Ovis aries: one gene and its partner. The protein of the gene in region 2 interacts with the protein of the main gene of each other region in a pairwise test. Links are inferred from orthologs where the notes say so. Each region holds a gene or a part of one and is shown on either strand. Other genes may lie near its edges.

Evidence for each region. The genes of interacting proteins can lie anywhere in the genome.
Region 1: the proteins of IPO13 (region 2) and PAX6 interact in a two-hybrid assay, tested with the Homo sapiens proteins (2 studies listed by BioGRID and IntAct). The link is inferred for Ovis aries from reciprocal best matches to the Homo sapiens genes IPO13 and PAX6.

The regions. Positions count from the first base shown.
Region 1 is NC_056068.1:61,381,236-61,384,886, forward strand, and holds part of PAX6 (paired box protein Pax-6), read right to left. Parts: intron 1,713-3,651; coding exon 1,554-1,712; intron 1,103-1,553; coding exon 1,020-1,102; intron 791-1,019; coding exon 640-790; intron 544-639; coding exon 428-543; intron 1-427. UniProt on the Homo sapiens protein: Transcription factor with important functions in the development of the eye, nose, central nervous system and pancreas. Required for the differentiation of pancreatic islet alpha cells.
Region 2 is NC_056054.1:18,594,766-18,598,416, reverse strand, and holds part of IPO13 (importin-13), read right to left. Parts: intron 1,561-3,651; coding exon 1,420-1,560; intron 1,330-1,419; coding exon 1,188-1,329; intron 1,097-1,187; coding exon 930-1,096; intron 721-929; coding exon 600-720; intron 514-599; coding exon 366-513; intron 1-365. UniProt on the Homo sapiens protein: Functions in nuclear protein import as nuclear transport receptor. Serves as receptor for nuclear localization signals (NLS) in cargo substrates.

The sequences.
Region 1 (3,651 bases), on a different chromosome or scaffold from region 2:
CCAAGACTATAAATTTATTTATACAAACACCTGAATATAAACCTGTTTTACCCATATTAACCCCTTACTAGCTAATAATTTGCCAGCATTATTTTCATTTTCTGGTCCAAGTTTCACACTGGTCCCTAAAGCATGCCCCATTCTCATCCAACATCATCAAGCTGACATTCCCAAAGAGCAAAAAGCAGATTAACTGGACTGAAAATCAAGTTTTTGTTTTATTAAAGGCATGAATCAATCAGTTAATCAATCAACTAAAAGACTGGATTGACTGCTTTCATCTTAGACTTCACTGGTCAAGCCAATCACTGTACTGAGAAAGTCTCCCAAGGGTAAACACAGGGCCAATGAGGTCTGCATGCCCCAACCTGCGCCTAACCTCCTCTCCCAGGGACCCGTTAAGTGGGCAACCACCGGCCTCACTTACTTGCATAGGCAGATTATTCGCCATGGTGAAGCTGGGCATGGGCGGCAGAGCACTGTACGTGTTTGTGAGGGCTGTGTCTGTTCGGCCCAACATGGAGCCAGAGGTGAAGGAGGAAACTGCAGGGAGAAGAACACAACAGTCGTGGTGAGAGTCAGAGCCAAGGACAAAAAGGCTGAAACACACTGATCAGTAGAATTAATATCTCCAGTTACCAGGCGTGGTGGGTTGTGGGATGGGTTGGTAGACACTGGTGCTGAAACTACTGCTGATAGGAATATGACTAGGTGTGTTGCTGGCTTGTCTTCTCTGATTCCTCAGCTTTTCTTCTCTTCTCCATTTGGCCCTTCGATTAGAAAACCATACCTGGAAATCAGACAGAACAGGTGAGCCCTGTGCCTGCTCCCAGCTCCGCCCCATCCCTGACAGAGCCACTGTCCTCCTCCCCCAGGCCCCGAGTGACAGCTAAGCATTTAGCAAACTAAATCTGTCTCTATTTATACAAACAAAGGACATTCCTTAGAAGCCCCTGGGTCTCTAAAAAAGGCAAATGGTATGAGTCACAAGAACACATGAACACACAGTCCCCTGGTACCTGTATCCTCGCTTCAGGTAGATCTATTTTGGCCGCTAGTCTTTCTCGGGCAAACACATCTGGATAATGGGTTCTCTCAAACTCTGAAAGAGTAAGTTGCATTTTCTGTGTTGTACCAGAACTACACAAAAGCCTGGATCAAGCTGATTTCCACCTCCTGACTTCCATCACTTTCAACCAATTCCCTTTAAAATGCTACTACTATTAGCATTGACTGTACTTGGAAGAACTATCCCATCAGAACCATGTTCTATTTTTTTGTTTAATGACATTCATTCAAGGTCTCTTCTGTGGCCTGAATTAGCCAAATCATCATTCTTTCTTTATGAGAAGTCAGATTTTTCATCTTTGAATTACTGGTACATGAAAAGAAAGAAAACACATACACTAAAAGAGATGCCCTGAAAAGAAAGAAAGAAAAAGGAAACCTTTTCAGGCCTCTGTGCAAGGGCCCTGACTAAATTTAGCTCTTTGTACTGAAGATGTGGCATTTACTTTGATTTACTGCTTCTCTACTTTGAAAAACTCCATCACCTTTCTCCAGGGCCTCAATTTGCTCTTGGGTAAAGGATGTTCTATTTCTTTGCAGCTTCCGCTTCAGCTGAAGTCGCATTTGGGCCTCATCTGAATCTTCTCCATTGGAACTGATGGAGTTGGTATTCTCTCCCCCTCCTTCCTGCTGCTGGCAGCCATCTGGACCAAAAAGAACAGGACAGTAAGAGAAATTTGGAATAACTTGGAGTCTCCAAAAGGGGCCTCACACAGCCATAAACTCCAAGAGCAGTCTATTCTCACAGTCTCACCAAAACATTCCCGAGGTAACTGTCAGCCTTCAAAAGACATTAGTGACACATGTTACCTGACCACCATTTTCTGTTTTTATTATGATGAGACTCTGCAACATAGATACTTGTAGAATGGCATTTCTGTGAATGACAAAATGAGTGGTGAAGTTTCCAATTAAAATGATCTTTCATAACTAACCTCGACCCTCCACATGCTTCACCCAGCTCCCTCTCCTTGCAGAATTTATTTACCTGTGGCTGTGTTGGGAAAATAGAAGAGTAATGTTCAAGATTTCAGCTGATCTATAATCAGTAATTCCTACCTAATCAATTAGATGTTGATAGGTTTGTAGAAAATGCTATTAAGAAACCAAACCAAGCTTGTAATCTTAAAAAAAAATATTTATCTAGTTTTTATTTGAATTCTGCACAGTCAATTTCATTTTAAAGGTTGTGAATTTAGAAGTGCTCGCATTGTTCTGCAGTTTTATTCAACTATTGTATGAGTGCGCTTTGCCTTGACACCTATTACGAGCACAGCTGTAATTATATCATCACCAAGAACAGGCTATAATTGCTGAAAATGGAATTTTATATTTAGATAAAAGGACTGTCCATTCTTTGTAATGTGTTGCACCAGAGAAAAGTAAGATTTCTTTTAAATTTTTAACGTGTAATTTTAAAAAAGAAATAGTAGAGAGTTCACTAACTAGCTAAATATGCTATGCTGCAGCTGAATCCTTGGCATATCATTTAAGTGGTACATTTTTAATTAGGGCATTTCCACCACTTTTAATGTAATTTCTATCATTAAACAGGGGAAAGTTTTATTGTTTTCCTTTGCTGCTTGGAGGGCAAGATGTGCACTTGGGCAAGCTGTCTCCTTTTGCGCCTTGCTGGAGAGGAAAGGATTCAGTTCTCACTAGGCCTCCAGGGCCACTGCCTCCTGGGTCCTTGGTCTTGGGTCCTAAGGCCCCCAAGAGATACCAATCGAGGCTGCCCCCCTCCCCATCCTAGCGACTTGGCCCTGGGGGGAGGAGCCTCTGGGGCGCCTTGGTGGGAATCGACTTGGCCAGGAATATCATTTATAACCGGGAGACAATAGGCAGTGCCTTCAAAGAGTTCAGGGAATTGTGACAGGATCTAGTGGGATCTTTTCAGGAACTTTGAAATGTTTTAAAACCCCAACTTTCTCCCCCATTTAAACAGGCGGATTCATCAGCACTGGCCACCATATGGGCCCTTGGAGATCTATTGAGATGACCACCAACACTTGAATAGCGAGGGGCTGCTTTTCAGCACAGCACAATGCCCCGCGAGTAAGGGAAACTATTAAACTCCTGGGGCAGGAGCGTTGGCAAACTTTCGTGGGCAGAATTTCGAGGCCACAATGAGCGCGGACAACAAAAGGATTCTCTTGAGGCGTGCAGCGGGCCACATTGTGTTACAAGAAGCCCAGTCAACAGACTTTTCAGTGAAGTGTGTTAACCCCTCTGCTCTGCTATCATTAATCACTGTCCGAAGAGCAGGCGCCTCAATGCTATTTAGGGCGCTTGGCTGGGGGCTGGAGGGTGGATGGGGGGCCAGGGCAGAGGGTGGAGGGGGGCACAGGGAAGGTGGATGAGGACGGGATGTGGGGGGAAGCGGGGAGGAGAGGCAGAGCGGATGATGACCAGGGGGGAGGGAGACAGGAGGGGAAGGAGCAGAGGTCTGGTTGAGGGAGGAGAAGAGGGGAGGGGGTAGAGAAAGGTGGGGCTAGAAAGAGGCTCCAAAGAGGAATAGGCCAGAAAGGTGCAAGAAGGACAGAAAAAGAGTGCCGAGAGGAAAAGAGACAAGAGGGTCAGCGG
Region 2 (3,651 bases):
CAGGCAGATCTGGCAGGGTGGAGCTGGAGCCCCTGAACAGAGAGAGCGCTGCGTGTTCAGAGCATGGGATGGGCAAATATGCACGCACGGGCCCAAACATGACCTTACTGCTGCTAAGTGGGAAGGAGTTACTCGGTAGAGGCCCAGCGGCACTGTTTCAGTGGCAGTGAAGTAGCCTCACTGAACTGCAGCTCAGCGCACTGTAGCAAGGACCCCTCGACATGCCAGGACAGTCCACTGGTTGCAGTTTCTGACTGTGTGTGCACGCACTTGTATCTCCCACTTTGCACAGGACCCAGCAGGTCGGCTTGGGGCTGCGCACGGTGGCTCTGGGGGTATGCTCACGGGTGTGGGCCAGGGCTCACCGATGGTGAACATGACAGTGTCCGCCAGCTGCACGTTGCTGATGCTGATCCGTGGGATGAGCCCAATGAGCCCAGGCACCACGTCAGAGTAGTTGACATCGATGGTCTCTGCAATGGACTGGAAGCCGTAGAGCAGGGCCTCTGTGTGCTGGGGAAAGAGGATGCCACCGGCTTGGCTGAGGAGGAGGATGTGACAGACCTGGGAGGGCTGAGGGAATCAGGCTGGGGAGGTACCTGCCAGGAGTAGGGCTCCTCTGAGCTGGTGAGCAAACGACCCAGCTTGTCATAGAGGTTGCTGAGGAGCTCGGCCCCCAGCATCTCATAGACATACATGAGCGTGTCTGAGATGTCCACCCTAAGAAGCAGATGAAGGCCTTATACACTGCCTAGATGCCTCCCCCAAGCACAGGAGCCCACCCCGATTCCCTCACAGCCCTGCCAAAGTGCCTAGAGAACAGAGAAGGGTGGCCCAGGATTCAGGGAACCTGGCCTTGGACCCCTCCCCTCATTGCCTTCATTATCTCAGGACTCCCTTTAGAGCTGGGATTGGCCTGCTACTGTCACCTGTAAATCCGGAACTGCTCCTTCTCATCGGAGGACCAGAACCCATATTCTTCATCAGAAGGGAACTGGGCCTTGTGCAGAAGCACATCCACCAGCTGGAAGTAGACTGGCCGGTACACCTGCTGGTACACAGCCTGTTTCTCTGCCTCAAAGGACAGAATGTCATCCTGAGAGAACCAGGGAGGAGAGTTAGCCACAGATGCTGTGATGCCCCTTCTGCCATCACGGCCCAGGTCCACTGAAGGTCACGTGACACACCTGCAGTGTGTACCAGAAGGTGAGGGTCAGGGAGCTGGTGGTCTCGTTGACAGGGAAGTGGCCAGGGATGCCCGTGCAGAACATGATCATGTTGACGAGGGCCAGGAAGCTCTGCCAGTGCTCCACTTGGTCCAGCAAGGCCCTGGGAGGGAGAAGGCATGGGGAGGTCCTTCCACCTCCCTTACTTCTTCGAGGGCCCTGCTATCCCACCTGCAGTTGCCCCTGTCCTCACCGGGAGTGGTTCTCGCCCAGAGCCACAGCAATGCGGCAGATGCCGTGGGAGGTCTCCATGTCCCCATTCTGTACTGCCTGTCGCAGTTGGTCCTGCAGTCCCAGCACCAGTGGGATGAGTTTCAGGAGTGTGTTCACGTACCTGGAGGCAGAAGGTGAGGAGATGCATCAGAACTGTCTGCCCATCTCCCGCCAGCTTTGGGAGAAAGGCACAATCTCTCTGTTGTCCATCAAAGCCCCCCTTTCCACATCAAACCCAAAGCAAGAAAGAGATCAGGGGCTAGGCCTGTGTGGCAGGTTTGACATTGCCCAATTTGGGAATACGTTTAGGTCAGAGACCTCCAGGAGAACTCTGGAAAGGATATACAAAAAGGTACATGTAGCTGAACCTGTGTCCTCCAGTTGGACTTAGAGTTGATGCTTGAATGGCTTAAGACTTTTAGGGAGGTTAGGATGAGGTGAACGTGTTTTGCATGTGGAGAGGACAAATAAATTTGCAGGGGGCAGAGAATAAGACAGCTATTGATTGAATTATGTTTCCCCAAAAAAGGTGTGTTGAAGCCCTAACCTTAGTAGCTCAGAATGTGACCTGATTTGGAAACAGGGTCACTGCAGATTAGATCAGAGAGTAGGGGGTGGCCCTAATACAATATGACTGATGTTCTTAAAAGAAGACATCCATGTAAAGACAGAGACCTACAGGGAGGGTGACATGTGACAACAAAGGGAGCGGCTGGAACTATGCAGCCAGCCAACAGAGCACCAAAGACTGCCAGCAAAGCACCCGAAGCTGGGAGGCAGCAAGGAAGGGTGCACCTACAGGTTTCAGAGGGAGCTGAGACCGTGATTTCAGACCTCCAGGCTCCACAACTGTGAGACAATGAATCTCTGTCGCGTGTGCCAGGGTGTGGTACCTTAGCATGGCAGCTGTAGGAAACTAATACATACCATCAGTATCAGGGGAGACTGAATGAGGACAGGAGACAGAACAGGCAACGCACGCTTAAGAGTCTTGTTAAAGACTTCAGGAGCCAGCAACAGCTCCAGAGAGCATCCACCTCCACCCTCCACCCCACCCCCTGCCACCAAATCCTAACTCCTAAGGAGTCTGGTGGCAGGTAGGGAGGGAATGAACTCAGAGGGAACTCAGAGACAAAACAGGGACAGGAGGATGGCGAACAGTCAAGAACAACTCTCCCTGGTGGTAATACTTACTGAGACCTGGAGGAAAGGATGGATGGGGACAGTAATAAATTTAACGGCAGGCCACAAGGTGTTAAGTTCAACGTTAGGCATATTGAATCAGAGGTACCCAGGGAAAGAGGCAGGTAGAAGTGTCCAGAGAGAACTGGATATGGAAACCTAAAGCCCCATGGAGAGGTTAGAGCAAGAGACGTAGATTTTGGAATCATCAGCAAACAGCTATGGGAATAGCTGGAAAGTGCCCAAGAATTAAGTGTCGAATGGGAGGAGGGCATGGCGACCCACTCCAGTATTCTTGCCTGGAGAATCCCATGGACACAGGAGCCTGGTGGGCTATGGTCTGTAGGGTTGCAAAGAGTCAGACATGACTGAAGCAACTTAGCATGCGTGCATGCATAAGTGCTGAATGAGAAAAGAGGGTCTGAGCCAGAGCACTGAAGCACAGTGACCCCTAAGGAAGGAGCAGAGGAAGCAGAGTACACAAAGGAGACTGAGAGAAGGCTAGCTCCATCCCCAGCTGCCTGCTCTGTGGAGACTAGACTAAGCAGAGGAAGTGATGCTCTCAGGGGGGATCCCTCTACTGCCAATCATGGTGTCACCATAGCAATCTATAGAGGGGAGGCGGTACTGAAGATCCAGCAGGAGTTCTATCTGGACTTGCCCCAAGCAGCTTGCTAGGAGGTAGCCCTGGCAAGATAACCTTAGGCAAAGGATGAGAAGGACAAGAGGCAACCAATTCGGGATGCTGGCTTCCACATCCCGGTTCTGGTGGGACAAGGCGTTCATACCAGATTACCCACAGCCCAGAGACAGCTCCAGAGGGTGTGGCCTGGAGACAGTGGGGATGGCTTGTCTCATGGCCCTGACACAGGCTGCACCACAAGACAATGGGCACCTTCAGGCCAGACTCTGGCACAATGAGTAGGGGCAGGGCCAAGGCCGTGGCCGTGAGCTGCCCAGTAGCTGAGATGGCAGCAGAAGGTAGTGCCCTACCCCCACAGCATCCTCACTGAATTCCAGGGCTCCCTCA